Macaca mulatta: one gene and its partners. The protein of the gene in region 3 interacts with the protein of the main gene of each other region in a biochemical or structural test. Links are inferred from orthologs where the notes say so. Each region holds a gene or a part of one and is shown on either strand. Other genes may lie near its edges.

Evidence for each region.
Region 1: the proteins of MAPK14 (region 3) and DUSP10 form a complex in vitro, tested with the Homo sapiens proteins (2 studies listed by BioGRID, with this or other methods). The link is inferred for Macaca mulatta from reciprocal best matches to the Homo sapiens genes MAPK14 and DUSP10.
Region 2: of the proteins of MAPK14 (region 3) and MEF2A, one has a biochemical effect on the other in vitro, tested with the Homo sapiens proteins (2 studies listed by BioGRID). The link is inferred for Macaca mulatta from reciprocal best matches to the Homo sapiens genes MAPK14 and MEF2A.
Region 4: of the proteins of MAPK14 (region 3) and MBP, one has a biochemical effect on the other in vitro, tested with the Homo sapiens proteins (4 studies listed by BioGRID). The link is inferred for Macaca mulatta from reciprocal best matches to the Homo sapiens genes MAPK14 and MBP.

Annotation. Positions count from the first base shown.
Region 1 is NC_133406.1:79,619,160-79,626,626, forward strand, and holds part of DUSP10 (dual specificity protein phosphatase 10), read right to left. Parts: intron 6,640-7,467; 5' UTR 6,597-6,639; coding exon 5,786-6,596; intron 1-5,785. UniProt on the Homo sapiens protein: Protein phosphatase involved in the inactivation of MAP kinases. Has a specificity for the MAPK11/MAPK12/MAPK13/MAPK14 subfamily. It preferably dephosphorylates p38.
Region 2 is NC_133412.1:89,974,693-89,982,159, reverse strand, and holds part of MEF2A (myocyte-specific enhancer factor 2A), read right to left. Parts: coding exon of another isoform or gene 7,455-7,467; intron 4,104-7,454; coding exon 3,977-4,103; intron 188-3,976; coding exon 61-187; intron 1-60. UniProt on the Homo sapiens protein: Transcriptional activator which binds specifically to the MEF2 element, 5'-YTA[AT](4)TAR-3', found in numerous muscle-specific genes. Also involved in the activation of numerous growth factor- and stress-induced genes.
Region 3 is NC_133409.1:146,225,380-146,233,358, forward strand, and holds the start of MAPK14 (mitogen-activated protein kinase 14), read right to left. Parts: upstream 4,081-7,979; 5' UTR 3,731-4,080; coding exon 3,615-3,730; exon of another isoform or gene 3,388-3,614; intron 591-3,387; exon of another isoform or gene 167-590; intron 1-166. UniProt on the Homo sapiens protein: Serine/threonine kinase which acts as an essential component of the MAP kinase signal transduction pathway.
Region 4 is NC_133423.1:3,678,791-3,686,842, reverse strand, and holds the start of MBP (myelin basic protein), read right to left. Parts: upstream 5,467-8,052; 5' UTR 5,264-5,466; intron 1-5,263. UniProt on the Homo sapiens protein: The classic group of MBP isoforms (isoform 4-isoform 14) are with PLP the most abundant protein components of the myelin membrane in the CNS. They have a role in both its formation and stabilization.

The DNA of each region.
Region 1 (7,467 bases), on a different chromosome or scaffold from region 3:
CAGGAATATGTGACGGAAAGTTTTTCTGCTCTTGTAATTTTGTCAGACTTCCAGATGGGTTTGCCCAAAGAACCAAGTAGGAAAGTGTACATATTCACCATTCTCCCTTCTGCTTTCTCCCATACACACGTTTTGAAAACAGAATTAGGCAAAGTGCTTTACCTATTCAGTTTCCTTCCCCTGCTTTGCTTTTTCTAATCTGAAATAATATCTACTATTGCCAGGAGAAGAGTTTCTTGAACTTGTCCATGACAAGCTGAATGTTCTGAATTGGTAAGGGCAAGAGTATTCATACTTAACATGCTCCCACAGTACTGTGCTTAGAATGACTTGCCCATCCTCCCCAACACCCCCGGCCCCTGAAATGTAAGCGGTTCTTACATTAGGGCATGAGAGTAGGAGAGCAGGGTCCAGAGGCTTGATTTATTGAGGGCCATCAAATGCCAGGTACTTTATGTCACCTCATTTCATCCTAGGATGCTGGAGCTGTCCCTGTTTTACAATGAAGAAAACTTGGCCCCTGAGAGATCCCCTGATTTGCCTAAAGGCATACAGTTGGTCAATGGAAATGCCTAGATTTGAACCCAGGTGTGAGTGAGCAAAATTTCACTCTGCTGAGCACATCGTGAATGAGGAACAGATGAAGCAAGAACACGGCTGGGAGAGAGAGTTCATTTCTATTATCTGTTCACCTACACTTAAATTAGGAAGCAGGAGAGTGTACCTGAAAGCTCAGAGAGAGGACAGCCAACTAACAGTGTAGCAGTTCAGAAAGAGGTTTCAGGACTTCTTGAAAGACAGGAGCAGGCCATTCAACTCCTTCCCTCCTTTTTCCTTCACATTCCAACCCTTCACAACCCCAGGCTCAGGAACCAGCTCACCCCTCCTTCTATCTACCCTTTTATAGTCAGTCCACAATCCTTATTCCAAAAATAAATCTTCCTGATGAGATGATGAGAAGTAACAAAAAGCAAAGCTAGAAAGTTTTATACTTTTGTTATGGGACTTTAGTTGGACAGATTATGTTTTTACAAATTTTCCTAAAACAAATAATTATGGGATATACCAAATTACTCCAGCCTCCTGGCCCAGTATGTTTTTGCAATTACTTTGGCACTCCAACTCTATGCTACTTAAATTAGTTAACAGTCATTAAGTTATTTTTAGGCCATAGCAACACACACTCTACTATACCTAGCTTGTTGTTTGTACTCCTTAGGAGCAAAATTTGCCTTTTTACTGGCACTATCATTTCCTTTCAATCAATATCAACAACATTTTACCATATTTATGGAGTGCTTACCATGTATGTGTGTAAAGTTCTGAACACTTTGCACACATTAATTCATTTATTTCAGAAACTAACACTTTGAGACAGCGATTGTTATAATCTCTTTTTGTTAATGAGGTAACTAAGGAACTGAGGGATTCGGCAACTTGCCCAAGGGCACATACCTAGTAAGAGGGGAGCCAAGACTAGCATTCAGACTGACTAGATCCAAAGTTCTGCCTTGATTTCCCCATCATTTGCTACAAAGCTAATGTTTGACATTTTAGTCTTGGATGTTAACCAGAGGCACAGAATAACAGCAGCACGTTTGTGAATGCAGATATGTCTTTATTTCAGATACCTTTTTAAGAATCCTTATAACATCTCTGAGAGACAAAGGGAGACTTTTATTCCCTTCCCCATCCCCCAGAAAAGGCAGAAACAGAATATTTTTCACAGGGTCTCTGATTTCTGAGCCTAGCCATCCACTTTGTCATAGAACTCTACATTGCTAACAAGAGTATATTTCAGAATCCTTTTCAACTAGGGAAAAGTGTGCAATCTATGATGCTCAATTCTAAGAAGTGAAATTTTACAGTATAAAGGCCTAACTCACTGCATGGTCAAATCCACCCCATGGATCATCCTCTTAAACCATTTCCCTCTTCTTCTCTCATTCCCCAGTAAAGGCCTTTGGTACAGAGCAGTCCTATAAAGATTGTAGCAGTTGGTCATTATTTGTTTTACAATAGCATAGAGCAAGTACAGGCATGGGCTCTGACATAACAGGGGAGGAAGGGGGAGACACAGACCCCAAGGAGGCACCTGGAGCCCTCCCACTCCCAGGGATGGAAGCTCCTCTGTAGACCAGACTGCCGATCAGTCACAGAGGGATTCTAGGTTGAAAAGCACTTAAAAATGGGTACATGACACTCAAGTGTTTAGGAGTGAAAATGTTGTTCTTAGTATACTATATTTCTAGCTTTCTTGAATTGGAAACATTAAGTTTAAACATTAAACATACTTAAATACATTAAAACGTTATCTATATTTTTAAATATTTCAACAGAAAAGAGAAAGCAAATAGGAAAAATAAAATTGTTTAATCTGGTTGACAGGTATATGGGTGTTCATTACACACTTTTCTGCTTTTCTATATGCTTGAAAATGTTTATAATAACATTTTTGGAGGCATGTATTGTCTTTAAGAAAAAGGGGCAGTAGACTATTTTTTCCTACCTAAGTAAATGACAAATTATTTCTCTGGATCCAGCTTTACTAAAAAGAAAGGGAGCCCAAAAATCTTGATAGCAAAAACGATAGCTCTCATTATGGATGGTCTAGCTTTCTTATTTTTAAGAATTGTTTAAAATTGTTAAAAGAATTTTAAGAATAGTTTAGCTTTCTTATTCAGTTTGACTAGAAAGCAAGTTTTAGTTGATTAAAAATCAGCTTTGAGTAAAACAGAATATAATTCTTTCAAAGACCTCACAAATCCCTAAATATTTATTCATTTGGATCATTTTCACCAAGTTGAAGGGAAGCACAGGTCTGATGCCATTTATTCTTCAGAAGATGAGACTAAAACATGGATTCTAACATAGGTCACAACAGGGAGGGCACCGTAAATTAGAACAGTAACTTAATCCCAGGGGCTGCCATGCCTCTGATCGGTTTCTTCCCAGCCTGACACAGCATTACTAAAATGGCAAGTTAGCAGCCGCTCTACTTGACAGACAGCACCAAAAATGGAGAGCATGGCATGGAGACAGGGGGACAAGGAGCTTGGACAGGGAGGGTAGCAACCAATGTTTACAAACATAAACCAGAGCATCAGATGGGCCAGCCATAAATTACCCAAGATTGTACTGAAATCTCTGAAAATAAATTAACAGGCCCTTAGAAGTTTCCTCCTTATGTTCTAACTATGCCCCCTTCCCACCAGCTTCCCTACAAAAATTACTCTTTCCAAAATGGTACCACTACCCCTGTTGCTGAAATACAATCTTATCACCAAGGGAGGGGATTACTCAAATAAATCTGAGAGGAGAAGCCAGACCAGAATTGTTGCTTGACCCACTCAAGAATTTGGGAGAAGTCTGCTGGTCATGCCTTTGGGGAATGCCCACCCCGTCTTTCACCACAATGGTGCTATGGTATTAATCACTGGTTTACCAAGTTGAAAGGATTATGAAGGACATTCTAATACTGACCCATTCCTTTCCCTTCTTTTCCATCTTGGTCCCAATTTTAGGCCGTTCTCCCAAAAGATATCAAAATGACAATGATAATTATAAAGTAGAATATAGACCCCTTCACTCCTGAACTACATATTTTCAATGAAATTCCCAGATATTTGAAGAAAAGGCCCCCAAAACTACAAATAATCTAACCTCTACCACCAGAGCGTCTTCCAAGTCGACCAACGCGGTGTCTCACCAACTCAAAAATGACGAGGCCTCGCAGTGGCTGCCCAGGGCGCCCAGTGGTGAGGTCAGCAGTGTGTCCGGCCCCGCCCCATTGAGGCAATCTTACTCTCTGACACTGAAGAACAAGCCCAGGCTGTCTGGAATCTCAGCTGCATCCACAGGAAAGGGAGAGAGGCACCCCACTTCCACCAGTAGCACCCAGGAGATTCACTTTTCAGTGACTGATGGGTCACCCCTATCCACAACTTCACCCGCTGCAAAATAGAGAGTAGAGTCTGCAACTCCTTCTAATCATCCTCATGATTAGGTCTAGGTCTAGGGTCATGATTAGGAGGTCTAGGGTCATCTTGATCCGTGTTTTTTCCTCTCCTCAAATCATGCAGACACAAAAGACTTGCTTTTAATTGTGAACACCTGCTCTGCATGAGCAAAGAGGAGATCATCAAGATCATTAGCTATCCTCCTCTTTGCTCCCCAAGACAAACTATTACAAATGGGAAATTCCCAGGTAGGATTTTCTCATTTGTAAGAGGCCAGACACACCAAGATTATAGTAAGACAATAGCAGGGTAAATATCCTGGGAATCACTCAAAGTCAACCAAACAAGAATACAGAAACAATAAAATACAGAGCTACGCAGAGGAAATCTGAACATATTTGTGACCTCAAGAAAACCCACCACCACAACCACCACCACCACCAGGAAATGCCTAGAAGCTTCTGGAACTCTCTACATACAATTCCATCATGTTCTCCTTCCCAGCAAAGCCCACCAGCTCTAAGGACAGATGTGCCTTTGTGGTAGGGGAGCCCCATGAGGACAAGTTTGAGGAGAGTGGAGGTTGGGAAAAGGAGATTGTGTCAATGGAATTCAGAACTATAGTTCCCAGAACGCTGCTTAACAAAAGGCAGAATGCCTCACTGGGAAGACAAGAAGGAGAATGGCAAAGCTGTCCCGTAGAGACAAAATAACTAACTTGCTCACCCACATGGCCTATTGCAATTTAAACATGCAATGTGTTCAAACTCAGCAACACCTTTGGTCAACACACTTTAGGAGACTGGTTGGAGATGTGACCCAGAAACTGTGTACCTTGGCTCACAACACAAAAGGAGAGAAGAAGATGACTATCTCTCACTACCACCACCAGGTAAAAGATGCCGATTGAGAGTGATGTACGGTGCCCCAAAAGTCAGTATCTGAGGGCAAAGAGGTGCAACTAGGCTGGACACAGGATGCAGGCTACTTGGGAAGGTTAGGCAACACGGTATGGACGGTGCTCCAAGAAGACTGGGTGAATACTTCCTTCTGCTGGAGCTTAGTTCCACTAATCTCAGTTATTCTGCATTCAGTATACTGGGGCAAGTGACCCACTACTCCATCTTGGTAGGAGCCATGATGCCAACTGTTGTCAGGTGAGGCCAGAAAAAAACAATGGATTGGGGAGTGTTTCATAAAAACGTCTCTGTTCCCTTGGAGCCTTGGCAGAGGAATGGATGTAATTGGTGAACTTATACCTTATATGGAACCTTAGAATAAGAAGCTCTGCCCTTCTTCAAGGTCACTTTATAAACCATATAAAAGTCAAGCTGGTCAGAAAGGTGAAAAAGAGAAAGAATTTCCCACAAAAAGAACTGGTACCTGTAGGTTTACTTGTAGTTCACCATAGTTGCTCCTTCCTCTGTTCCATCAACATTGGTTAAGTCTGAGAGACAATAACTTTCCAACTAGTGATTGACTGGAATAGAGCTAGCAGACCAGGCATGACTTGAGATACCATCTGGTGTATATAAAGCCCCTTTTTAGAAAGATGAGAAAACAGTCCCAGAGAGGTGAAATGACTTGCACAATGCAAATTAGAAGCCGAATTAAGGGTAGAACCCAGATCTTCTGGCTTCCAGTTCAGTACTGCTGGGTTTTTCTTACTAAACCAACACAATAAAGAGCATAGAAGGGAAGACAAGAATAAAGTCTATTTTGGTCTTTGGTAGCCAGGGTAAGGAGAATGCTGTCACTTCTACGAGAAAACCCAAAGTGAACCCGGCTAATCAGGACTGTGCTTGGGAAGGGAGCAGGGGCATTACCTTTCAACACCAGAGGTTCTTTGCCTTCTCTCTTCAGGGACTCGAGGACTATGTGAAGTGGCTGGGAGGGCATCACTCGGCTTGGCTCATTGGTATTCTCATCATAAACTATAATTTCTTTGGAAAAGATCCTCTTGAAAGAGTCCTTGCCTTCCCTACAGGAAATCAAGTCTAGGACAGTGATCTTGCCCTGCTGCAGTCTCCGCCGGCTGATCTTATCGGCGCAGTTAATGTGGACAGCTCCTTGGATGTGACTCTTGTTGTACTCCATGAAGGGCCTGCAGTCAATGATGACAGGGCCCTGACTCGGCAGGTGACTCTTGTTGCATTTGGTCATCTTCTTTGCCAAGTCATTGGGGTAGATTATTTTGATGCTGGCTAGCTGCTTGGGGGTCCCTGACACAGGGCTGCCCACCCCACCTGATGGACTTAAAGAGCCTGTATTCTCATTATTGTTGACCATCTGGTTAGCAGGGCAGGTGGTAGAGGTTCCGATGGCAGTGGTGGTGGTGCCAGCAGCAATGGCTTGGGTTTGGGCCTGATTGTCCTTGTCGTAGGTTGCCACAGTGCAGCAGCTGGCACTGCTGCATCCACAATTCAGGGAGCGGGCAGAGCCGCTGGATGAGGGCATATACGTCAGATTCGCAGCCTTGAGGGACACAACGGTGGTGGCGATGACAGAAGGGTGGCTGTTACTGCCTGGGGTGGCAGAACCAAGGTAGCTAGAGTCTAAACAAAGGTTGAGATCCTGAGGTCGGACGGGCCTAGATAGTGCCACTACTACCCTGTCGTCTAAAGGAGATGGAGGCATGAGGAGGCTGAAAACTGGCAATTCAAGAAGAACTCAAGACAGTCTGTAAAGAACGGGAAGGGAGAAAGAAAGGATAAAGTCACGTGACACAAAAGGCAGTCTCATCCAATCCCTAGGAAAGGCCTTTGCATCCCTCTGAGCAGTCTTCCTAATTGCCCTCTATCATACCATAATCAAAACTTGAAACTCATTTTTATGTATTCAAAGAGGATGCAAACCTGAGGGCCCCAATCAATTTGGTTGCTAAATCTAAGGTTAAATTTGGATGTAAAGTTGTAAATGTTAATGAATATTTCCTGGACCTACATAAAAGTTCAGCTGTAGAAAAGGTATAAGCACAAATAATTAGAAAAGCTGAAGACAGAAGGGAGGCTCTTAAGAGGCATCTATTCTGAACCTCAGCTCTTGCGCAGAAGTACACTGCAAACATCTGAGAAAGACCCATTTGTCCACCCTTGCATGCTTGCCAGTTAATTCCCTCACTCGCTGCAAAGGCAAAGGGGCAACCAAGAGCACTGGCATGGTTCACAGAAATGTACAGCAGCTAAATATACATCAGAGTGGATGTCAACTTTCTGCAAATCCCCTTAAGTGAATCTCTTTAACTTGGAGCTATTCTTGCCTTCCATCCTATTGGGGTCCTTTGAAACGCACAACATAGTCATATTAAAACCTCACATGTTGTCTTTTGGCCTCTTATAAATTAATCTGCATTTCCCCTTTTCACTACTAACTGGTGTCCTAAAACGAAATCTCAAGCCATGGAGCCAGATCTGGAAACCTGGAAACCCCAACCCTGGCAGATCCATCACCCTTTGCTCTCCCACCTACCCCTACCCTCATTCCTGCCTGGAAAGGACAACTTGAGCTC
Region 2 (7,467 bases), on a different chromosome or scaffold from region 3:
TAGGAGAAGAGAGTGTGTCGGCCAGGAGTAAAGATGCAGGGAAAACTTCTAGTTACTCACACAAGAGAGCTGAGGGCTGCTTGTCCTAGGTGGTGCTGCTGCCAGGCCGACACCTGTCCCAGCGACAACATTCCTGGCGAGTTGAAGCCTTGCAGAGCTGACAGGTCAGCGCTGGTCAGTGAATAATCTACGAAAGAAGACAAGACAGCTCTGCATGTGATGGAAGGTCCACATGGAATCTATTTTTTAGATAGCTACTGCAAACGCTCCTACACTGAGGCCAGGCATGCTGGCTCATGCCTGTAATCCCAGCACTTTGGGAGGCCGAGATGGGCGGATCACTCGAGGTCAGGAGTTTGAGACCAGCCTGGACAACATGGTGAAACCTCACATCTACTAAAAATACACAAATTATCCAGGCATGGTGGCACATGCCTGTAGTCCCAGCTACTCGGGAGGCTGAGGCAGGAGAACTGCTTGAATTTCACCCAGGAGGCAGAGGCTGCAGTGAGCCAAGATCGCACCACTGTGCTCCATCCAGCCTGCGCAATAGACTCCCTCTCAAAAAAAATAAAAAGTTCCTACATTGAGAGAAGCCAGATACTTCACAACAAAACAACATACATGTGGGTCTAAAATCCAAAATCTTTTCTTGGAAGATTTTACAGGATCTAGCCATATTTAGTTGTCTGGGATGATTCAAATAAGAGGCCATCATTAAAGAATGTTCTGTACAATTGTTATTTTAAATATGCCTGCCGCTACCCTTTGGAACAAACAGAAACAGTCAAACCCAACCAGAGTGAGTTTGAATCAGCAAGTCTTAATGAAGTAAGGGGTTGGGGGACAGGGGACAGGAAAGACAGATTCCCTTCACATGGGGTGCCAAGCTTAGTGACATCATTACACAATTAATTCACTGCATTTGTTTAAAGTACCTAGACTATCACAAACTCCTTGACAGCATGCAAAATAGTTTCAACTTCATGAAAAAACTTGGTGTCCTAGAGTATAACCCAGCTCATATCATATGAATGCTTCAGTCATAATCACTGGGACCAAGATTTAGGACGTTAGTTATCACTCACACGGGGAGTTATTTCAGCTCATCATAACACTTGTCTTTTCCATTTGGTTCTAAAGAGAGGTGGCAAAACTCTTCTACTTTTATCTTCTTTCTCATGTCTCAAGAGAGGTGTTTAAAGAAGTTGGTCTTCCTAGTGAATTAACATGTTAAAAAAGGAACTAAGTTGAAGCAACATAGCTGGTGCTCAGCGCTGTCCTGATTCTGCCCTTGTCATTCATTCTATTCTATACACTCCCATGGGCTGGGGCAAGGGCCTGCCACACTGATGCCTTCCCCAGTGCTCCCTCCAGCCCACACTCTCTTTCGACCTCTAGGTCTTTTAAACGACCTGCATGCCATGTCCATTTGGATGCCACTCCAAACGCCACAAATCTGACATGGCCTGTCCCTTCCTGCAAACCTGTTCCTCCTTAAGTACTCTGTCTTAGTACATGGCACCAACATGCACCCAGCAGCTCGTGCAGAAGCCTATGGGTGTTATCCTTGCTATTTCCCCTCCCTCTCACTCCCCCCATCAACTTCCAGATCTGAGCAATTCTATCTGCTCTCTCTCAAGCCTGCCCAAGTCTCACCATCTCTACTGCCACCACTCTAGTCTATGCTATCAACACACATTGCTTGGACCACTACAATAGCCTCTGATGTCGCTTCCTGGCATTGCCTTGTAACCCTATATATAGCAGCCAAAGAGATCTTTTCAAAATAACAAATATGATCATGGCACTCCTCTACTTAAAACTTTTTTATGGCTTCCCAATGCTCTCCAGACAGTTTCCAAAATCCTTGACATGGTCTACAAATCGCTACTTACTTCTCTAGTCTCAATTCTAACCCACGTTCTGTTCCCATTCCTTCAGCCTTGTGCCGCCTGTGAACTCCTAGCCTTTGTACAGGCACGCCCTCTCCCAAGAGCACTCTACCTCTTCTGCCTGCCTGAGTCATGCAGGTTCCTTCATGTCCAAGCTGAGATACAGCCCTTGACACAATTGCAGCAGCTTGACCCTAGTGCTATGTGTCTTGTGCCCTCCTCCTAGGCTCCACTGTTGACTCTGCACTCCTGTATTTCCAGTGCCTGGCATAGTGCTTACCACATAGTAGCTGCCTGATAAGTATTTGCTGAATAGATGTGTGAATAAGTTAAAAATAACATGGTAAACTTAAAACAGAATAAGTGTTATGAGAAAGAGAACAAAGATAAAGTCAGTCAAAAGGTGGCATGAGACTGACGCTAAGCGACTGATGATTTTGAGAGCCTGCCTCCATTTTTATACGCTTTGGTAATTCCTTTTATACTTTTAAAAAATAAATTCCCAATTCAATGGCATTTCTGAAAATAAGTATAGTGGAATTTCTAAGTATACTGAAAAACCTGTAATGAAACACTCAGTAAACCATAATCTAAGACCTAGTTCAAGCTCCCTCTTCTCAGTCAATACGCCTCTGAACATTATAGCTTTGCCGTACCTTCTCATTTCTCAGAGTATAAATTCATAAACACAACAATTCAGGACTTCCCCTCCATGGTTGCCCACTTAGGTATGTCCTGTCTCCTTGTCTAGAATAAACTTGGAGAAAGGTATGTCCCTAGCATAGTGTCTCTCATAAAGCAGGTGATCAGTGCATCGAAACAGAATTTCTATGAATCCATCATCCCTGGCTTTGCTCTGGAACCTTGTTCTGTGCAAGACACAAATAACAGGCTATGATTCACAGTCCCTAAGATAGTATGCAGTCAACAAATTTGGGCATTATTTTTCATACTAATTGTTGGAAAAGTAATGGATATTTCCTAAGAAGTTTTTTTTTTTTTTCCCCAATGAAACCTTTTATTGTTTGTTTTAAAAGAACTACTTAAAAGTGGCAATCAAATGTTCTCAACACTCTGCCCCCTCAGGTAGCTGCAGACAGCAGTTTCAAAGTACTGTGCCAAAGCATTCACCCTGAAGGCTAAAATCAGACGATCTTTACCACAGTCTACTTATGACACTTAGGAGAATCATAAAAGAATAACTTCTCTGCATTGCAGTCTCGGAGTAATTGGCAAGGTAGAATTTATTGCCTTCTTCCTCTGAAGCATCAGGTGTTTGGCTCAGTCGATGAGAAAGTGAAACCACATGTGTTTTCCACTTCTTCTTAGATTGGTAAATTTAAATGAAACCAGCTGCCCTCGATTCTCCATACAGTCTGCTTGGCTAAAAGCACTCCTACAATCACTGTAATATTCTTAAATTTTCCTAATACAACCCCAAATTAGGGCATTTTAAGATGAAATGCCTAACTAAACATAAATGAAGGCAAAACTCCCCTCAAAGGCAGAGTGACTGGCTCTGAGGAGGAACCAGAACAGTCCTTGCTTTGCCCCTCAGGAGCGCAAATGACATGGACCAAGCTAGTGGTTACAGGGAGGAAAACAGCCTGTCAGACATAGTCAAACATCGGCCACCTCCCGAAGTCTCAGGTCCAAAGGGATTCATGTCTTTCCCAAAGCACGTTAACACAGCATAAAGACAAACATCTTATTTTAAAAGTCTGGAAGACTGTGATATTGTTTAAAGAGAAACTACATCAACAATACTCAAGCAACAGGCTGCTACCCTCTTGGCTTGATGTATGCCACCACTTTGATATTATCTACATGGGCTTTTTGTCAGGGGTAATTGAAAGTTCACGATGGAGAAGCAGAAATAACTTATTCAACTCTGACACTATCAATTTTGTTTGTAATTTTTTTCAAGGCTAGCACATTTAAAAATACATCTTAATTTAAATCTAAAAAACTGGAAATAGTTTATTTCAATAAATATACTTTAAAAAAAAAATCACAAAAGCACACGTTGATCACAAAACAGAGAGAAGTACAACCTATGGAAGGCACCAAAGCAGGCTCACCAGTGTTGTAGGCAGTCGGCATTGCTGAGTACACAAGTCCCTGTGGAGGCAAGCTTGGGGTTGTCACAGACACGACTGGGGTAGCAAGAGGTTGAGTGGCTTGAGAACTACTTATCCTTTGGGTATTCTGTGAGAGATCAAAAAAGAGAAAAAGTGTTCTTATATGGTATTTATGTTGACTTAAAAATAACTTTCAATTTAAAAGTGACATTTTTCAGTTTTATATGAATGTCATTTTCTGAAGCAGTGATGATGTGAAAACTTCAAAAATACTAGTGAGAACAACTAAATATTTGATTTGAAGAGTCATATTTTTACATTAATTCTCCTCTTAAAATAGTTTATTAATGTTAGACACACCACGTTAAAATAGGAACTTATGTTACAGGCATTAGCACTTCTATTTGTTAGCACAAAATGAGGACGTGATGCCGCTACAAATACTGTCAGACTACCCTAAATATATGTAGGTTTTAAATACCTGCTGATGGCAAAGGTCATCTGTATATATAGGGATTGTACGTCTATGAGTATAGGAATCAAAACTACTTTTCTTTGCGGCATTTACATGTTAACATAGTTTGAAGTCATGGCTTATTGAGTGCAGCTTGTATTCTTATTTCTTTCTCTCCAATCATGCAGTTGACCTATTTTTTAACAACAGATTCAGATATGTATCCCTTCATGGTCCCCTGGCCTTCTGTAGGAGACGCTTTGAGTAGAGCATTTTGAATCAAGTACTGCTGACAGGGCTGTGGAAGAGCAATATTAAATGATTGCCAACTGGATGCATCTATGCAGCATCCTATCCATGCTGGGAATGGATTAAAAAAATCAACTATTAAATAATCCAGTTAGTTTAAGATAGTCATTGTCCTTAATGTGTAGGAGTATGACAGAACCAGTTTCTCACCAAACTGGCTTAAGGTAACAGTTTTCCAAAATCTAAGATCGGAGGAACACAACAGACTCTGTGTCACTAGCACACCAGAAAGTCACAGCACAACTCTATTTGTTTTTTATAAATTATGTTACAGCCTGATAACTGACATTCAGGGATCTGAGCCAAATCAGTAAAGTATAATTCAGTGCCGTTGAGATTATGAAGAGTTAGAATGTGATTCCATTTTCTCTACCACAATTTTCAAAAGAGTACATCAGACAAAGGCCTTTGGCTAGATCTAGACACTTACAAACATTCAATGAGGATCCTGATCTCAGTTTATTTCTTTTTAATTTCTGTTTTCTATCCTAGGTTAGAAGATGTGAGAAAGACCATGTGGATGTGGATGTACTGCTTGAGTTTCTGTCCCAGATTCACCACTTCCTAAGCATTGGGAAAATCATTTGACCTCTCTGAACTTCTTCACTGTCAAATAGAGAAGATACAGCAATCTTTGTCCTGGCTGCCTTCAACAGCTACTGTGAGAATCAAATGAGGTTATTATGTCAGAAGTGCTTTCATAACTGAAGTACTACACAAATGTAAGATAATATCCTTATTGTCCCAAGAAACCCTCTGTCCCAAATTTCTATATAAGTGGTGGGAAAAAAAAGATACATATTTTTATTCCTTCTAATCCATAGCCTAGTCTACTGGAGCTTTCATGAAGTCAAGTTGTTCTACTATTGCTCAGCTTCTAAAGGAATCTCCGTGGCTGGTCTTAACAGTACAGTCTTTAGTGCAGGCCCCAGGGCACCTGTCCTTCCGCACTTCGGATCAGTCATCCACAATTACATTTTAGAGCTCAAGGCAATTTGAACCACTTCTAAGTTCTAACGGACTGTGCTTCTGATTATATTTTGGTTCTGGCACACAAAGTTCTGCATTTTTAATTGATTATAGAGTCTCAGGCTTCAGTTTTAAAGAATACAAATGGCTGTTTATAAGTTTTTAGATACGTATTTTAAAGTCTTCAGGGACCTAATATATTTATCTCTGAGGTTCTGTAATTACAAATGTACTTACTCTGAGGAATGTGGAAAACCAACGTATGCCAGTTGGGAATATGTTAGTTTCAGTATCAAGTTTTTAAATTTAATGACTTTTCAAGATACAGATCTACTTTGGACTTAATTTCTTCTTTCATATTTAGTCTGGAACTTCTAAAGTCAAATCACTAGGTGAAAGAATACAGTATGACATAGTTTGGCTTGGACCCTACCTACTCCATGGCATCATCTTCATGGCAATCTTCTGGCATGCCTTTGAAAACAGTAAGACTTCAAACACTGGTTCTACTCAACTAAGCTCCTAATCTCAAAGGCACTGAGTTCTCTAAGAGTAAGTGATTTTCAGAACCACAAGAGGGCAATATAGTGCTAGATAATTCATGGAAGCATTCACAACTCCTTGAACAGTGAAGTCTAACCTAAGGTGAATTATTTTAGCTTGAATTATAAACTCTCATTTACTGATCATTATGGTATCATTAAGTAAAGTGTTTCTCCAAAAGATATTCATAATATAATTCAAAACATTTACAGCTGACTAGAATAGTTCAGTTGGCCAATACAAAACTATATCCAAAACTGTGACTGATCACAAAGCTAAATAAGGAACAATCTCGTATTTTAAGGGGAACAGACAACCTTATTTGAAAAGATCACAAACTGTGCAAAACACACCAGCATGCATAAACATGGAATATTAAAACCAACGGATGCCTTCTCCCCCATGCTTTCATGCACTCTTAACCCCTGTCCATGCTAAAAACATTTCCAAGTTTTTATTCCCCTTAAAGTCTTTTAATTAGCAGCTGACTTTGAGATTATATGATGACTCCTGTGAGGTTTTGGTTTTAGTACCTAAAGAAGAAATAGATAAACTGCAAGTTGCTTTTAGTCAAGTTTATTTTCTAGAGGAAAAGCCAACAGAAAACGTTTGTTTTGGAAAAAGAGCAATAATTGCTTTTAAGAACAGAGTGTCTTCTGATAGAAAAGTAAATATATATACATTGAATTACAGACATTCCTTTTAGTAAACAGGGAACCCCCTTGTGGTTCAGGCTGTATCATGCAGGATGAAATAATTCCAACTCTGAAAAAGGTGACCTCACCAAAAATGATGTAATCTTTTTGAAAGAGAAACAACACAACATCGTGTGTTACAATCTGAGGAACTTCAAGGGTGAAGTCATTTTCTAAAAATATTTCAATAATTTGGAGAGCTATATAAGGTATTCTGTATCTTTCCTTAAAAAAAAAAATTTAACAAGTATCCTATGCTCATGGACAGCTACTGTTTTTAAAGGCTCTATTCCAATGTTCCCTCCAACAAATAAAATGGGTCAACACATAAAATTATAAATAGAAAAACTAGAGTCTGTAGTACCAGTAGATTGCTTTACTCAAAGTGTTTGAATAGTGTTTAAAAAAATTGTGTAACAAAGGGAACATTGGTTAGATAAGAACATGTAAGGTAATTAGTACTTTCTACATCTTTTTCACCTTCCTTCAAGCAGAAACCCACACTCACCAACTCCAATTCC
Region 3 (7,979 bases):
TGGCCAACGTGGTGAAACCCTGTCTGTATTAAAAAATACAAAAATCAGCCGGGCATGGTGTTGCACACTTGTAATTCCAGCTACTTGGGAGCCTGAGGCAGGAGAATCGCTTGAATCCAGGAGGTGGAGGTTACAGTGAACAGAGATGGTGCCATTGCACTCCAACCTGGGCAACAGAGTAAGACTCTGTCTCAAAATTAAAAAAAAGAAGAAGAAGAGTATCATAGGCTCCAAAGTGGATTCTAAAAGAAGTTCCAAAAAATGTTTTCTGCCACACATAAAAAGGTACTCATTGAAAGAACAACTTCAGGCCGGGCACAGTGGCTCAGGCCTGTAATCCCAGCACTTTGGGAGGCCAAGGAGGGCAGATCACTCAAGGTCAGGAGTCTGAGGCCAGCCTGGCCAACATGGAGAACCCCGTCTCTACTAAAAATTAGCTGGGTATGGTGGAGGGCACCTGTAGTCCCAGCTACTCGGGAGGCTGAGGCAGGAGAATCGCTTGAACCCAGGAGGTGGAAGTTGCAGTGAGCCGAGATGGCACCACTGCACTCAAGCCTGGGCAACAGAGTGAGACTTCATCTCAAAGAAAAGAACAACTTCAAATAACTACACCGAAACTCTGAATAAGATAACACTTAATTGTAAATCTAAATTCTGGTATTTTCATTCCAATATTAGTTATAATTGTTTATTGTTAACTGTCAAATAATTTCAGTTTCAGCTGTATTTTCCTTCACCAATATGCTGTAGGTTACATCTTAAATCCCTTTAGTAGAAAGACTACTAAACAAACAAGCAAATAAAAAAACTCTGCCCCCCTGGAAAGACACAAGACACTTAACAGCGCTTGTCTTTGAGAAAGACAGTAGAGTGGCTGGAGAACAAAAAACGAGACTTTTCACTGAATACCTTTTTTTTTTTTTTTTGAGACAGAGTCTCGCTCTGTCGCCCAGGCTGGAGTGCAGTGCCGCGATCTCGGCTCACTGCAACCTCCGCCTTCCGGGTTCACATCATTCTCCTGCCTCAGCCTCCCGAGTAGCTGGGACTACAGGCACCTGCCACCACACCAGGCTAATTTTTTGTATTTTTAGTAGAGATGGGGTTTCACTGTATTAGCCAAGATGGTCTCGATCTCCGGATCTCCTGATCCACCCGCCTCGGCCTCCCAAACTACTGGGATTACAGGCTTGAGCCACCGCGCCCGGCCCACTGAATACCTTTTTAAAACTTTCAAATTTTATACAATGTGAATATATTACCTATTTTTAAAAATCTGTTCAATAAAAGTACTTTTAAGTGTCAGATACTGCTGGCTTTTTTTTTATTTTGAGACGGAGTCTCGCTCTGTCGCCAAGGCTGGAGTGCAGTGGCGCCATCTTGGCTCGCTGCAAGCTCCGCCTCCCGGGTTTACGCCATTCTCCTGCCTCAGCCTCCCGGTTAGCTGGGACTACAGGCGCCCGCCACCTCGCCCGGCTACTTTTTCGTATTTTTTAGTAGAGACGGGGTTTCACCGTGTTAACCAGGACTTTCTCGATCTCCTGACCTCGTGATCCGCCCGTCTCAGCCTCCCAAAGTGCTGGGATTACAGGCTTGAGCCACCGCGCCCGGCCTCTGCTGGCTTTTATACCACAGAAAAATATACCACTAAAGAAATGTGGAGTTAATTTTAATGGTACTTCACTGTAAATCTGGATCTCCTGTTCCAGTGCAGAGCTAGTCACCAACAGTACTGAACCTTTGCGAGGAATTCAACTGGAGTTCACCCAAACCCTCTATAGATGAGTTATTCTGCTGTTATCACTCCATTAAAATTTAAATAGCATTGAAAACAAAAACGTGATACTACAGAAATGAATGTGTCAATTCAAGAATGAAAAAATGGAAGTATATTAATGAGCTATAAAATATTAAAAGAACAATGATCCAAATACATCTTTGAAAATTAGCAAATCAACTAGATATACATAATATGTATATACTGAATGGATATACATATATTAACATGTATATATCGAATGTAAAATGCTGCAAATCAACTATACACACACACACTCTGAATGTAAAATCCTGCAAATTCCTTTAAAATGTAAACTGCCATGCTGTAAAAATGGGAGAAAGATGTCACGCACGGTGCCATCTGCAACATAACTTAAGCAGCTTGAACTAGAAAATGCAATATGATCTGTTACTGGACACAATTGCACAATCTCAATTACCCAGAAGATTCTACCAAACAGGAAATTCATGATGTGACTTTGGGAAACACAGAAATCATATTTAAAGATTAACACATCCAAAAGCCTGGAATTTGTTCCAAAACAAAAAACTATTTTACAGGCCCCTTTTCAAATGACGCATACAATACGAATTACTAAAACACAGAAAAAGCTAACAGTTAAATCTGATATTTAGTTTCAGATCCGTAGCTTTTAAATTATAGAAAATCTAAAATACAGGGTATAAAACCTTGAAAATTAGAGAGCAGTTAGTGAAATATTTCAGGTCTGGAAATTACATGGTATCGACTTAATTTAAAACACACTCACGGTGTAAATTAAAGCTAAAAAGTATCTCTTCCCTTCCTTTTCTATGTGGTTCCATATCCTTACGAAAACCATCGTGTACCTCAGGCCATAAATGCAGATAACTAGATAAATCCCTGCAAACTCTGAAAGGGACTTTTAAAACACAGTATTCGCAGGAATTATCTCAAAAAATACTTACAATACCTCCTAGCACTGTTAATAATTTTTTGATCTTGAGGGCGCCTTACAGATCTGAATCTTTCTTGCTCCAAATGAAAAAACTGTTTTGTCGAACAATACTTAAATGAGCAGTGGTATGTGACTAATCAGTGAGACTGCCAGTTTCTCAAGCTGCAGCGTTCTTGCAGGCACTACCACCGCCGCCCCTCCACAGAAAGGAAATACGCTTTCAACCGAATCGGAAACACACCACTCAAGCTGGCACAGTGTTCACCGAGATAAAGTCGGTATTTTAAGCTCTATGGATCGCTGCTAATTCAAGTGCGAATTCAAAAAGAACACTTCTCGAGATGGGATTTCGACAGAGGTTTGGGGAAAAAAAAAAAAAAAAAGGCCCGGAGAGAGCTCCCTTCCTGGTCAGTTTTGTTTAGATGACCGCAGTCTTCGGGTTGCGCTCTGCCCTTCTGCTTCTCCCGGCAGCTCCCCAAGCTTGTCTGCTCAGAGGACAGGGTCCGGCGCCACAGCGTGGGCGCATCGCGGGAGAGGGTCCTTCTGCTCCAGGTCCGGAGGGAGACCCCCAAGGAAGCAGCCCTTCCCCCGGTGCCTGCCGCCGAGCAGCAACCTTCCGAGAGGCGAAGGCGCAGGGTGCTAGCCAGAACCGAGCTCCAGCACCACCACCTACCTCTCGCAGCGGACTTGAGCGCTGCACACGGTGGACCGCAATACCCGCGTGAGTGCAGGGCGAGGGGTGCAGGAGGTGCAGAACAGGCAGAGCTCGAAGGGGCAGCAAGGCCCTCCCCCGAGGAAAATTCCTGCCACTTGACGCAACGCAGAGCAGTCGTGCAGGCCTGGCTCTCGGGCGCGAGGGGCCACCCTGCCCACAGCGGCCCCAGGCCCGGCGACACTCACCACACAGAGCCATAGGCGCCGGAGCCCACTGGAGACAGGTTCTGGTAACGCTCGGGCACCTCCCAGATTGTCTTGTTCAGCTCCTGCCGGTAGAACGTGGGCCTCTCCTGAGACATTTTCCAGCGGCAGTCGCCGGGTAAGAAGGTGGCCCTATGGGGCCCCCGCCTGCACCCGCACCCTCTCCCCGGCCCTTGCTGCCCGCCCAGCCGGGCGGGGACCTTGCGCTGGTCGCCCGCGCAGGTGCGGCTGCCGCGACCCCGCAGACTCCCGCGCGCGCGGCTGCTGTCAGCCGCCGCGGCTGGATGCGCCCCTGCGACTGGGGCAAGCCCCGCTAAGGGCAGGGACGCGCTCCGGCGCTCAAGGCTGCGCCTGCCGCGATCTCCCTGCACCTTCGTCCCTACAAGGCCGACTCCGAGCTGCGTCGCAGTACTCCGGATCCAGCTGCTGCGCCCGCTGAGGCTCCAGTGGTCGCGGTTCCACAGCCAGCAAACAGGAGCCTCCCGCAGTACTCTCGCGAGAACTGCTCCCGGGACTCTCCGAGAGCCGAGATTTTACCCAATATGGAACCTCTTCGCGGGCGGGGCTTCGTGAGAGGAGAGGATGAGAGGGGCAGTTCTCGCGAGAAGAGAGCAACAACTGGAGCCCAAAGGCAGAAACTCCCAGGAACTGTCTCCTTAAGGGCGCGAAGGCGGACCAGGGAAGGAAGAGATAAGCGGGCAGCACACGCCGCGCGCGCCCCACCGTGGCCGGCAGGGCAAATACCTGGCTCTGTGGTGGAAAACGACAGTGACAAATAGCGTGTCGGGGAAAGAGTCAAAAGATCTTTAACTGCGAGTAGTTACTAGCAGCGGAGCACCTGCTCAGCTGAACCCCCAAATTCCAAAAAACACTTGCATGAAAAAGAGATAGGTGGCAGGGCGCGGTGGCTCACGCCTGTAATCCCAGCATTTTGGGAGGCCGAAGCGGGCGGATCACCTGAGGTCGGGAGTTCGAGACCAGCCTGACCAAAATGGCGAAACCCCCGTCTCTACTAAAAATGCAAAATTAGCCGGGCGTGGTGGCGCGCACCTGGAGTCCCAGCTACTCGGGAGGCAGAGGCAGGAGAATCGCTTGAACCCGGGAGGTGGAGGTTGTGGTGAGCCGAGATCGCGCCATTGCACTCCAGCCTGGGAAACAGAAGCGAAACTCCGTCTCAAATTAAAAAAAAAAAAAAAAAAAGTGAGAGACAGGTTCTGGCCAGAAGGCTGTTGCATTCCCATCTGCTCAAGGACATATGGGTTACTCTACATGTGGGTTACTCTTCGAGATGCTGACGAAATATGTCCCAAAGGCAAATGTTAACCCTGCATCAAAGCTGAGGCTTTCCAGGGGCTGGGCGCGGTGGCTCACGCCTGTTATCCCAGCACTTTGGGAGGCCGAGGCGGTCGGATCACGAGGTCAAGAGATAGAGACCATCCTGGCCAACATGGTGAAACCCCGTCTCTACTGAAAAATACAAAAATTAGCTGGGCATGGTGGCTTGAGCCTGTAGTTCCAGCTTCTCGGGAGACTGAGGCAGGAGAATTGCTTGAATCCGGGAGGCGGAGGTTGCAGTGAGCTAAAATCGCGCCACTGCACTCCAGCCTGGCGTCAGAAGGAGACTCCGTCTCAAAAAAAAAAAAAAAAAAAAAAAAAAAAAAAAAAAAAAAAGCTGAGGCTTTCCATTCAAACTCTCCTAATAGTTCTTAAACTTACATGCAGAAAAATCACCCTGGGAGTTTAAGATGCAAGTTCCCAGGACTCACAGGGAGTCTAATTGGGTAGGTCAGAGGAAGGCATCAAGAGCATGTATTTTTATAATACATCTTAGGTAATTCTGATTCAGGAAAGTCTGATATCTCCCTTTGAGAAGCATTTAAAAAACCATTACACTGAAGATTTGAAACTGACTCCTACCCTGAAGAGCCATCAGTGAAGAGGATTTTAAGCATTCAACTCAGGCCTCTTCGAGTAAGGAGAAGAGGGCAGAAGTCTCATCGAATTTAGGCAAGTCAAATGACCTTTCCTGAACCTTAGTTCCAGCTTTTACAAGAGATTTCCTGCCCTGCATTCCCGACTAACAGAGTCATTTGTAAAAACTAAACAAGATAAATGTGAATGGGCAAGGCATTATAACCCCATGCCTACATCCATTATCAACCTACACCTATGCTAAAGCTTGTTACAATGAGCAGAAGAATCAGATCCTGCATCATTGTCTTAGTTTCTTGTATTAGAAATAACTAGGTCCAAGCCAGGACATTTCTCAACATTTCCTGTGATTATTCTATTTTGTGTCATACACACCTTGGAGGGCTCAGACTTTGCCTATCTTGTCCCAATATCTAGCACAATGTCTATAACATAAAACATGTCCCATAAGTATTTGTTATAAAAATTGTGAACAATGACCATGATTTCAATTTAAGAAGTGGTACAGGATTATCAGTCCTCCTCAAGGAAAGCAATATAAAACCAAAAAACAGAGTCATGGGTGATTCATGGAAAGCTGTTTTGGATCCAATGTAGCTTAGCTGGAATTCTCTTATCTACAAAAACATGATGCTTGAGAATGTTCCAAACTAGGGAGGCTAGGAAGCTTTCTAAGAAGTGACGGAGGGTGAAGGGGAAGTAAGAGCAAAAACATGGTTGTGAAGAAATGAGGGATGGGGTTGGGGGGATCGAGGGAATGAGGGAATGGTTACAAGGGGTGAGGAGGAAGGTTGGAAGTAGGAATCCTCAGAAATGCACATTTTTATCCTACAAATTGGGATAATGAGGTGAGGGTGAATGGAAGGGTAAAGATAAAGTAAGCAGTATATTCATACACTCATTCAACCAATGTGTATTAAATGCCTACTAGGTGCCAAGCACTTGTAGTTAAAAAGTGATTAAAAACTACAGTTGCTGCCTGCGTGGAGCTTACAGTCAATGGGAGGGCAATCATTCAACACAAATTCATTGAACACTTCCTATGTCCACCACAATGTTGTAGGCACTCATAATAAAACAGTTAATGAAAGGGATAAAAATCCCTGCCCTCATAGGGCTAAGATTATTTACAAAAAGGAATACACAAAGTGCATAATAAGGTAGACATCAACACAGTCATCAAACAAACAAGTGTAAAACTGTAACTGGGCCAAGCAGGAATACAAGGTGGAGTGAGAGACAGTGATAGGGACAGGGATAGGGTGGGAGGAGGGTAAAGGGAGTGAGTGCAGACGGCATGTCTGCATCCAGAGCCGACGATCTGGGCAGGAAGGTGTCATCCAGTGGGGAGAGCCAGGCCTGTGGGGCAGAGAGCCTATGGTTGGAGACCTGGGTAACCCTCCTAGCCTCCATTTCCTTTTACCGCTTCTGACCTGAGGAAGGCTAAGTCTTCCGGAGACGATAGTGAATTACCGTCTGTGCAGTACACATGTGCATTGCTGTATGTTCAGGGCACGAGGACTGGCACCAAATTGGCCCTCGATCAAGAATAGTAAAACCTCAGAGAGAGTAGGAGCTTCGGTACCCAGGTTTACCAAGTACCAAGGGGCTCCCACGACTCAGGTATAAGGAGGGCGACCTAGGTACCCCTTTCCCGGCTCCCTAGCCCAGCTGCTCATGCTCCCCTTCCTCGTCCCCTCCCCCACTCTCATCTTCTGCCCGCCCGGAACGTCCGCGGGCTAAGCCACAACGGCTAGGGAACCGCCGGTATCCGCGTCCGCAGCGCCGCCAGCCAGGCGGGAGCCGTGTGGGATCCCAGCGCCCGCACTCCCGCCCCCGCCAAGGAGCCAGGTGAGCCGCTGCCGGGAGACGCCCGGGCGCCGGGGGCTGCAGGCGGTGAGCGGCGAGGCCACAGCGGGTCCCATCTCGGGGGCTGCGTCTGTCACCGGCAGGTACCCAGGTATGCCGCAGAGCCAGGCACGCCGCAGGCGCTCAGTCAGTATCTGTGGAATGAACGAATGACGGTCGTCCCTGGGAGCTTATCTCTCAGGTATTGTCTCTACTTTCAAAGGCCGTGTGGATGGCAATGACAAGAGACAGTGTGTGCGTTTTGCAAGCTGCATCCTTTCAAATTCTCCTGTCTATATTGTCAAAAGCCCCAGAACTGATGTGCTACCTGCACCCCACCGCCTATCCCATCCATTTCCTCCCGAGGCCTGACTTCCCGGCCGGCCGTTCCTCCTCCTTTCAGACCTCACTGCTTTTGTTCATTTTATTCCCTGTGACTGAATCCCCACCCCCACCTCCTTGCCCCTTTCTTTTCATGTCAAATGCTATTGATGTGTCAGGGGCCCCTGTGAAGCCTTCTCCAGCACCCCCACCCCAATAATGAGCATCTCTCCAACACACCGTGTT
Region 4 (8,052 bases), on a different chromosome or scaffold from region 3:
TTTCAACAAACAGTCCCGGAGCCACTGAACATTCATTGGCAAAACCCAAACCAAACCAAAACAAATAAGCCTCAACCTAAACCTCACACCTCATGTAAAAATTAACTCAAAATGGTAAAGAGACTTAAGTGTAAGATGTGAAACTATAAAATTTGTAGGGAACCTCAGGCTAGGTGAAGACTTAAGACTTCACACCAAAAATCAAAATCCGAAAAAGGTAAAATTAATAAACTTGAATTCAGCAAACTCTAAAACTTTCTGCAAAAGACTCTGTGAAGAGAGTGAAAAAACAAGATAAACTGGTAGAAAATAGTCACAGAGGGGTAAGGCCAGTATCTAGAAAATATAAAGAATTATGAAAACTCAGTTGTTAAAACCAAACAATCCAATTAAAAAGCGGGTAAAAGACATGAACAGACTTTTCACTAAGGAGGATACACAGATGGCCATAAGTACATAAAAAGGTCTTGATGTCATTAGCCATCAGGGCAATGCAAATTAAATTATCAGGAGATACCACTATACACTTATTAGAACAGCTAAAATTAAAAAGAAAAAAACAGTGGCAATACCAAATGCCGCCCAGGCTGGGAAGGTCCTGAATCACTCACACACCATCGGTGGGAATGCAAAATGGTGTAGCCATTCTGGAGAAGAGTTAGCAGTTTCTTACAGAATTAGACATGTGCTAACCATATGACTCAGCAATTGCACTCCTGGGCATTTATCCCAGAGAAATGAAAACTATGCTCACACAAAAACCTGTATATGAATGTTCACAGCAGCTCTGTTTGCAATAATCAAAACCTGGAAAGAATCCAAGCACCCTTCCCGGGTGAACGGTTGAACACACCATGGTTCATTCAGATGGGCGAACACCACTGAGTAATTAAAAAGAAACACCTATGGACATGCTTGCCAACCTGGATGGGTCTCAAGGGAATTGTGTTTAGCGGAAAAATTCCGTCTCGAAAGGTTGCATAGTGTATGATTCCATTTATAGAGCATTCTTTATAGAAAATGGGAACCATACTGTGGTTGCCAGCCTTAGGGAGGGGGAAGGAGGAAGTCAGCTTGGCTATAAAGGGTAGCATTAAGGATCTTGTGATGAAACTGTCCTGTCCTCTGATGTGTTGGTGGTCACATGGTTCTACACGGGTCATAAAATTACACAGAACTAAGCACGCGTGCACAACACGCACGCACACACACACACAGAGCAGTCTATAAAGCGAGTACATGTAAACTGGTGGACTCTGAAATCTGAACGAAGTTAATGGGTTGTATCAATGTTCAATTTCTAGTTGTGGCATTGTACTATGGTTTTTAAGATATTATTGTTGGGGGAAACTGGTGAAGGGAATTGCATGTGAATCTACAATGATCTCAAAACAGAGTTTTACTATATTGCTTCAGTGAATATCCACTGTGTGTGTCTTATGCACACAGACCAGGTTTTCCCTAGAGGAGACACCTAGAAGTGGAATTGTTAGATCTTAGGATACACCCATCTTCAGGTTTTCTAGATCATTCTCTAACTTCCTAATTATATTCTACTTGAACTCATGTGAGGTCTAATTTTTCTGCACTTTCTCTAATATTTGGTATAGTCACAATTTAAATTTTTCCAGTACAGTAAAGTTAAAAAAACCTTTTTGACATCTTAGTTTTGAATTCCCTGAATTCCAGAGGGTTAAAGTCCTTTTCGTATTTTATCAGTGCATCTGGGTTTTCTCTTCAGTCTCATATTTTACTCTTGAGTGGCTTGTTTCAAATTACCACATTTTAGAACTGTTTCTGTAGTCTAGATCCTGGCCTCACATAGGTCTGTGTCTCCTCATCTTTTAGACATCCACCTATTTTTCACAATGGTGACTCCGACCAATGCAGTGCTGTTCACAGAGTCCAGAACAAAAGAACATTCAGAATGACATTTTTGCGCTTTAATGGCTATTGAGTCTGAGACATTGCTAATAGCTTGGGAACATGCTTTCATGGTTGTCACTGGCACTGCGGGAGATGTTGCCGTGGAAGGCAGCTTCAGCCGGCCGGAGAGATCAGCTGCCCTTCTGGCTGGCCTGTCCCACAGACGTCCCACAAACCTGGCCAGCCCACCTCTGCATAAGCAATTCCTTGCCATGAGTAATATGTATCTCCACCTGCTTCTGTTTCTCTGGATGAAGCCTGCCCACTACAGGTTTTGACAGAGATTTAAAATCTCCTCTGGAGACTATTCCAGCGGCTCGCCTGGCATTTCTGCTCAGCTGGCATCAGGGCCTGTGGGGTGAGCACTCTTCCCTTACACAGCTCCAGCACTTCCTTCGGGGGTTCCAATGGGCCAATAGAAGTGTCTTACTACTTAATGGCCACTTATTTAAAATTATCCCAAGAGTAATTAGAGGCCAGGCACGGTGGCTCATGCCTGTAATCCTAGCACTTTGGGAGGCCGATGTGTGCGAATCACTTGAAATCAGGAGTTTGAGACCAGCTTGGCAAACATGGTGAGGCCCCATCTCTACTAAAACAAAAACAAAAACAAACAAACAAAAAACCCAAAAATGAGCCAGGCATGGTGGTGTGCCTCTGTAGTCCCAGGTACTGGGGAGGCTGAGGCAGGAGAATCTCTTGGACCCAGGAGGTGGAGGTTGCAGTGAACCGAGATTGCACCACTGCACTCCAGCCTGGGCGACAGAGCAAGACTTTATCAAAAAAAAAAAAAAAAAAAAGACAAGGAGTAATTAGAATATTTTTTCTCTTTTATTGACAACTAAGAAAGCTAAGGAGAGGATGATGAACAAAGACGGATGCCAGTGGCCTTATGGTCAAATCATTCTTGAAGGGAAACGTGTGTGGGACATCTCTGGGTACACTCACTCATTATTAGGGGTGGAATTTTAAAAGGAGGACCCAGGAACACCTTTGCAAGCCATCCTTTTCACCACGGCGGTGCAGAGCAGCAGTTAGGCACTGGTGCAGACTCCCTGGACTGAATCCTGCCCTCTTCTCATGTGCCCTTAGAATAACTTAACCTCTCTGAGCCTTGTTTCCTCATCAGTAAAAAATGAAAATATGAATAGGATGGCGACATCCAATGAGAGCATCCTAGGGCCGTCCCAACTGTTATCCGAGGTGACAAACCGCTCTCAAAAGAGAGTCTGGCAATGTGCAAGTGGTGGATAAACACTCCCTGGGGACAGAAAAGGCACAGAGGAAACTGCTAATCTTAAGCATGTCATATTTTTAAAGAACTTGGAGGAGGATTAAAAGTCAAACAAAATAACTTACAATTAACATTGACAAATTCAGGCAGAAATAGAAACACCACACGAAAGTGCGGTCTTTTTTTTTTTTTTTTTTCCAGCGTTTGGGGGCTAACTTTAATCAGTGCACACAGCTAGGACCGCCACTGACCAAACTCAAACCCCATGTCTCAAATCATGGAGGAACCGTGAGCTACCAGGTGTAAAACAAGCGACGCATCTTACGCTTTCTTATCTCTGGGCAGAATTGTGATACTTTTGGAGGATTTTCAAAGAAGATTGAACAAAATAGCTTTGTTTAACCCGGAGTTAGCAGAAGTGGTTGTTTCAGAACAGTTAACTCCCTGGGAGTTACTCCAGCATTTACAACAATTTTTAACTGGGTTCTTTCCCCTCAGATTTCACAGAAAACAAAACAAAGCCCTAAAAAACAAAAGACACACACACGCACATATACACACACACCCCTCTGCTGCGGTGCCCTTTCCCCTACAAAACCCTAAAAAACAAAAGACACACACACACACACACACACACACACACACACACACCCTCTGCCGCGGTGCCCTTTCCCCTGGCCTTCTCTACTGAAAGGCAGGTGGGTTCCTGGCTCTCGGCCGTATCCACAGCCCCAGCCCAAACGCTAAGGAGGTGTCCATCACTGGAGGTGGCCGCCAGGGAGCTCCGGGCAGGACCTTGCTCAATCCATATGGTTCCCTGACTTGAGGGTGACCGTCCTTAACCCGTCCCCCGGAGCTTCGCCAGATAAAATGTCCAAAAAACACATTGGATGTTCCCTGACGTTTCCTTCCTCTGAAAAACTCTTTCCAGGCGGGACGTTCTGTGGTCAGACCAGGCAGCGGCCTCGCCGGAACGAAGTCCACGCCCCTCCCAACCCAGCACCCAGCGAGCCTACGCGCCCCTCACCCAGGCGCAGAGAAACCGAGCACTTGTTGATTCTCATGTTGTTGCAATTGGAAAACGGAACAAGGAACCAGAACGCGCCTGTTTCCAGCCAGAGTCGCACTGGGGTCCCCAAAGACGCTTGAATCTTTTCCCAAGCCCCACTCCACCTCCCAAAACGGGGGGCTCTGGTGGACGCGAAAGGACACAAGGCGCTGCCCCCGGCACCGTGGAAAATACAGTGTGGCGGCAAATGACCGCAGGTCACACACGCCGGCCTCGGGGGCCACCGAAACCGGACGCACCCGGCCCAGGACAGGCAGTGGGGCCCGGGAGGCGGCTGCAGGGAAGACCCGGGCGGGCCGGCGGGCGGCTGCAGGCGGCGCACGTGGGCTCAGGTGGGCGCAGCGACCGGCCGGGCGGAGGAGCCCGAGACAGGCCCTGCGAAGGCGGAAGCCCGTACCCGGGCTCTCGCGGCCGCCCTTGGAGCTCAGAGGGAGACTGCGCTTCGCCCTGGGGGCAGGGTCGGGGGCGCGATCGCGCGCGGGGCCCCCGGGGTGTGATTAGCAGGCGCCGCGAGTCGGGAGGACCCTCCAGCCCGCCCTGGCCGCCAGCGCCCTCTCCGCACCCGCCCAGAGTGGCCGCTTTTGACCGCCGTCCCCTCCCACCCTAGACTCTTCCCCTCAGCCCCACAGCCCGAGGCCGAGCGGTGGCAGCGACCCTGGGACCGCCGGGCCTGGCTGGAGACCACCCCTGGGCAACTGTCAGGGTCCGGCCCCGGCGCTGTAAACCCGCGTCTACACCCGCGCCCACCCCCTCGCAGTGGGGATCGGGGCCGGCGAGGTGGGTTCGGGTCAGGGAGGACGCCGGCTGCCACCTGCCCGGCCACCTGCGCCGCTGCCCAGGTTCCCCCTGCGCGTCCCCAGCCAAGAGAGGGACCCTGAGTCCGGGCTTCGGGACAGCTCCTGTCCCAGATCTTGCGTCCCAGGCTCCCGCGGGGCTTGGGTCCGGGATCCCGCCCAGGTCTCCGCGGTCCCCACTCGGAGGGGCACAGAGACAAAGGCGGCAGAGCCGCCCGCCCGTCCCTGAGGGTCACCCACCGGCGCTGCGCTCGCTGCTCCGAGGCCGAGGGGCGCCGCGGGGTCCAAGGCCCTGCTCCCCCTGCTCGGCCCGGGCGGGCTCGTCTCGGCTTCAAGCGCCGACGCGCGGGGTCCCCGGGCAGCCTGCGCCGCCTTCCGGGGTCGGGAGACCGGGGCCGCCGGGGCTGGAGGCTGCTTCTCTCTGGCGCGCGGCGGCGGTGACTGACGGCGGCGGCTCGGAGGGACGGGCGCGCACCCCGCTCCCCGGCCCCGCCTCCCCGGGCTTCCTGCGAGCCAGGTAAACACAGGCCGATCCCGCCCGGCCCGCCCCACCCCACCTGGACGCTGCCGCCGGAGCCGCCCCGGGAGCTCGGAGGACCCGGGGCCCGCTCTGCCCACGCGGAACTCGGGGGGCGCACGGGGCCCACGCGCAGGGTCAGACCTCAGAGGGGCGGCCTGGAGCCTCGCCCGCTGCCGAACTGGGCTCCCAACTGCGGCCCGTCGACCCTTCCCGCGTGGCTTGGCCTGCGAACCCACCCCGACCCCGACCCCGACCCCGACCTCGACCTCGCGGGAGGAGTGCCAGGCCGCATCTCCCCGCGTCCTCAGGGCCTGGAAACCCCAGAAACTGCCGACGCACTTGGCGCGGCCCTGGCTCTGCAGGAGGAGTCAGCCCGGCCTGGAGGCGAAAGGAGCCTGGCAGGTCCTCCCGGGGCGCGCCCTCCCTCCCCTGGAGCCCAGGCCAGGCCCATGTCCGGCCGGCAGGTGCCCCGCTGGGAGCTGGGGGCTGGGAGCTGGGGGCGCACCTTCTCCTGCAGGACGGGCGCTGGAAGCGCGCGCGGAAAAGACAGGAAAACACGCGCAGGTGCGAGGAAGCAGCCTGGTCCCGCAGCCCGGAGACATCGTAGTCTTCGTCGCTCTCTTGTTAAAAAGAAAAAGCCTGCTGTTTAGCCGTGACTCACCTGCACGCAGATTTAGTGGTCAGAGATCTTTCCCTGGATTCTCGGCCTCCTAAAGGTGATAGAGGAGGAGGCTGGGGGAGGCCCTGAATGAGGCCCCGCGTTCCTCCTGACCTACACCCCCAGTCAGGGATCTGGATCTGGAGCTTCCGGAGGCAGCCTGGGACCCACACAGTTTGTTAGGAAGTGAGGGAGAGGGGTGAGCCCTATCCCGGCCCTCGCTGGGAGGCGGGACACCGACTTCAGCGTGGGGTCGGGGTTGCGGCCTAAAACCAGCCTCTCCCAGAGGCCGGGAGGATTTAGCAACTGTGTTCAAATGCTGGCAACTGGAAGAGAAATAGTTCCACAACGACCCAAAAGCATTCAGTCTGGTGGTTTCCTCAGGAGAGATTTTCAAGTGGAGAGGTTAGGAAGGTTCTGGGACTTTCAGGCTGAAGGTGAGGAGGGAAAAGGGTGCCAAAGATAGTGTGTTTCTCCAATTTTTCTGCCCCCCAACCTCACTTTAAGTCAAGGATGAGCGGAGTGGGTGTGGGAGGTTGGACAGCTGCCCTAGGAGCACGGGTGGTGACAACGAACCCGGGTGCACCCAGGTCCCAGCTGAAGTCACTCAAAGCTCAGACTGGGGAAGCTGGAACACTGGGTCCCGTTTTAGATACCTGTTTTAGCATCAGAAACAGCTTTTCCTCCCCAAAACATCTCTTGGCTTTATCTCAGTGACTCCACAGGGCGGGGCCACCTTCCTGCCTGCAGATGTCCCTGTATGCTGGGCTCCAGAGCGTCCCTCAGGCCACAGTGACAGCAGCAGCACGTGGCCTTCTGTTTGGTGCTCCTGCTGCTGGTGTTTCAGTGGTTTCCTGAAACACTGCATATGCCAACAGTCAGCCCTGCAAATGTCAGGCTCCACAAGTTCCAGTTAAAAGTCTTTTTACAGTATTTATAAAATTGCACTGTGCATATTTTGTTGGGATGGAGTGTCCATGCAGGTGGGCAGCCAGGCAGTTTTAAACATTCATGGATTCTTCAAAGAAAACATATAGATAATACTATTTAACAAAACAGTGGATTCACATTTGGATCAATTGGTCCTGTCTTGGGGGTTTTCATGCCCTCCTGGTTAGAAAAAGGACCCCAGGTTGAGGACAGTGGATGGAAGAAACAGGCCGGCATTTCACTGCTGAGAGACAAACTTTCACATGAAGATGTCCATGTAGCCCTCGGCAAAGTGACAGAGATTCACTGTGCTGAATAAAATTGAAAGGCATCTTTTGACAAGTAACCCATCAAAGCCTCATTGTGTCTTTGACATTTCTAAGAAAGTCACATTGCAGTTACCCCCATCTTTCACAAGGTACCAGAGAGCAGAAAGTTAGATCTATCCGGCATCTCATATGGCAGCAAATAGCAAAATGTTTTGTGCATGAAATAAACTCAATAAATTTTTTGTTAAGTTGAATTAAACTCCAAATTACCCAAGCTAAAGGAAGTAAATGAATCTAAATAGTTTCCGACAGAACTCAGACTGCACGAACTTTGAGTTTTCTTTAGTTTCTTCATCAACAGATTTGTCTTTGTTATGATGTTTTGCTTAGGAAAGGACTGAACTTTTTTTTTTTTTTTTTTTTTTTTCCAGATGGAGTCTCATTCTGTGGCCCAGGCTGGAGTGCAATGGCGCAATGTCGGCTCACTGCAACCTCCGCCTCCCAGGTTCAAGCGATTCTCATGCCTCAGCCTCCCGAGTAGCTGGGATTATAGGCAACTGCTACCACGCCCAGCTAATTTTTGTATTTTTAATAGAGATGGGGTTTCACCATGTTGGCCAGGCTGTTTTGGAACTGCTGACCTCAGATGGTC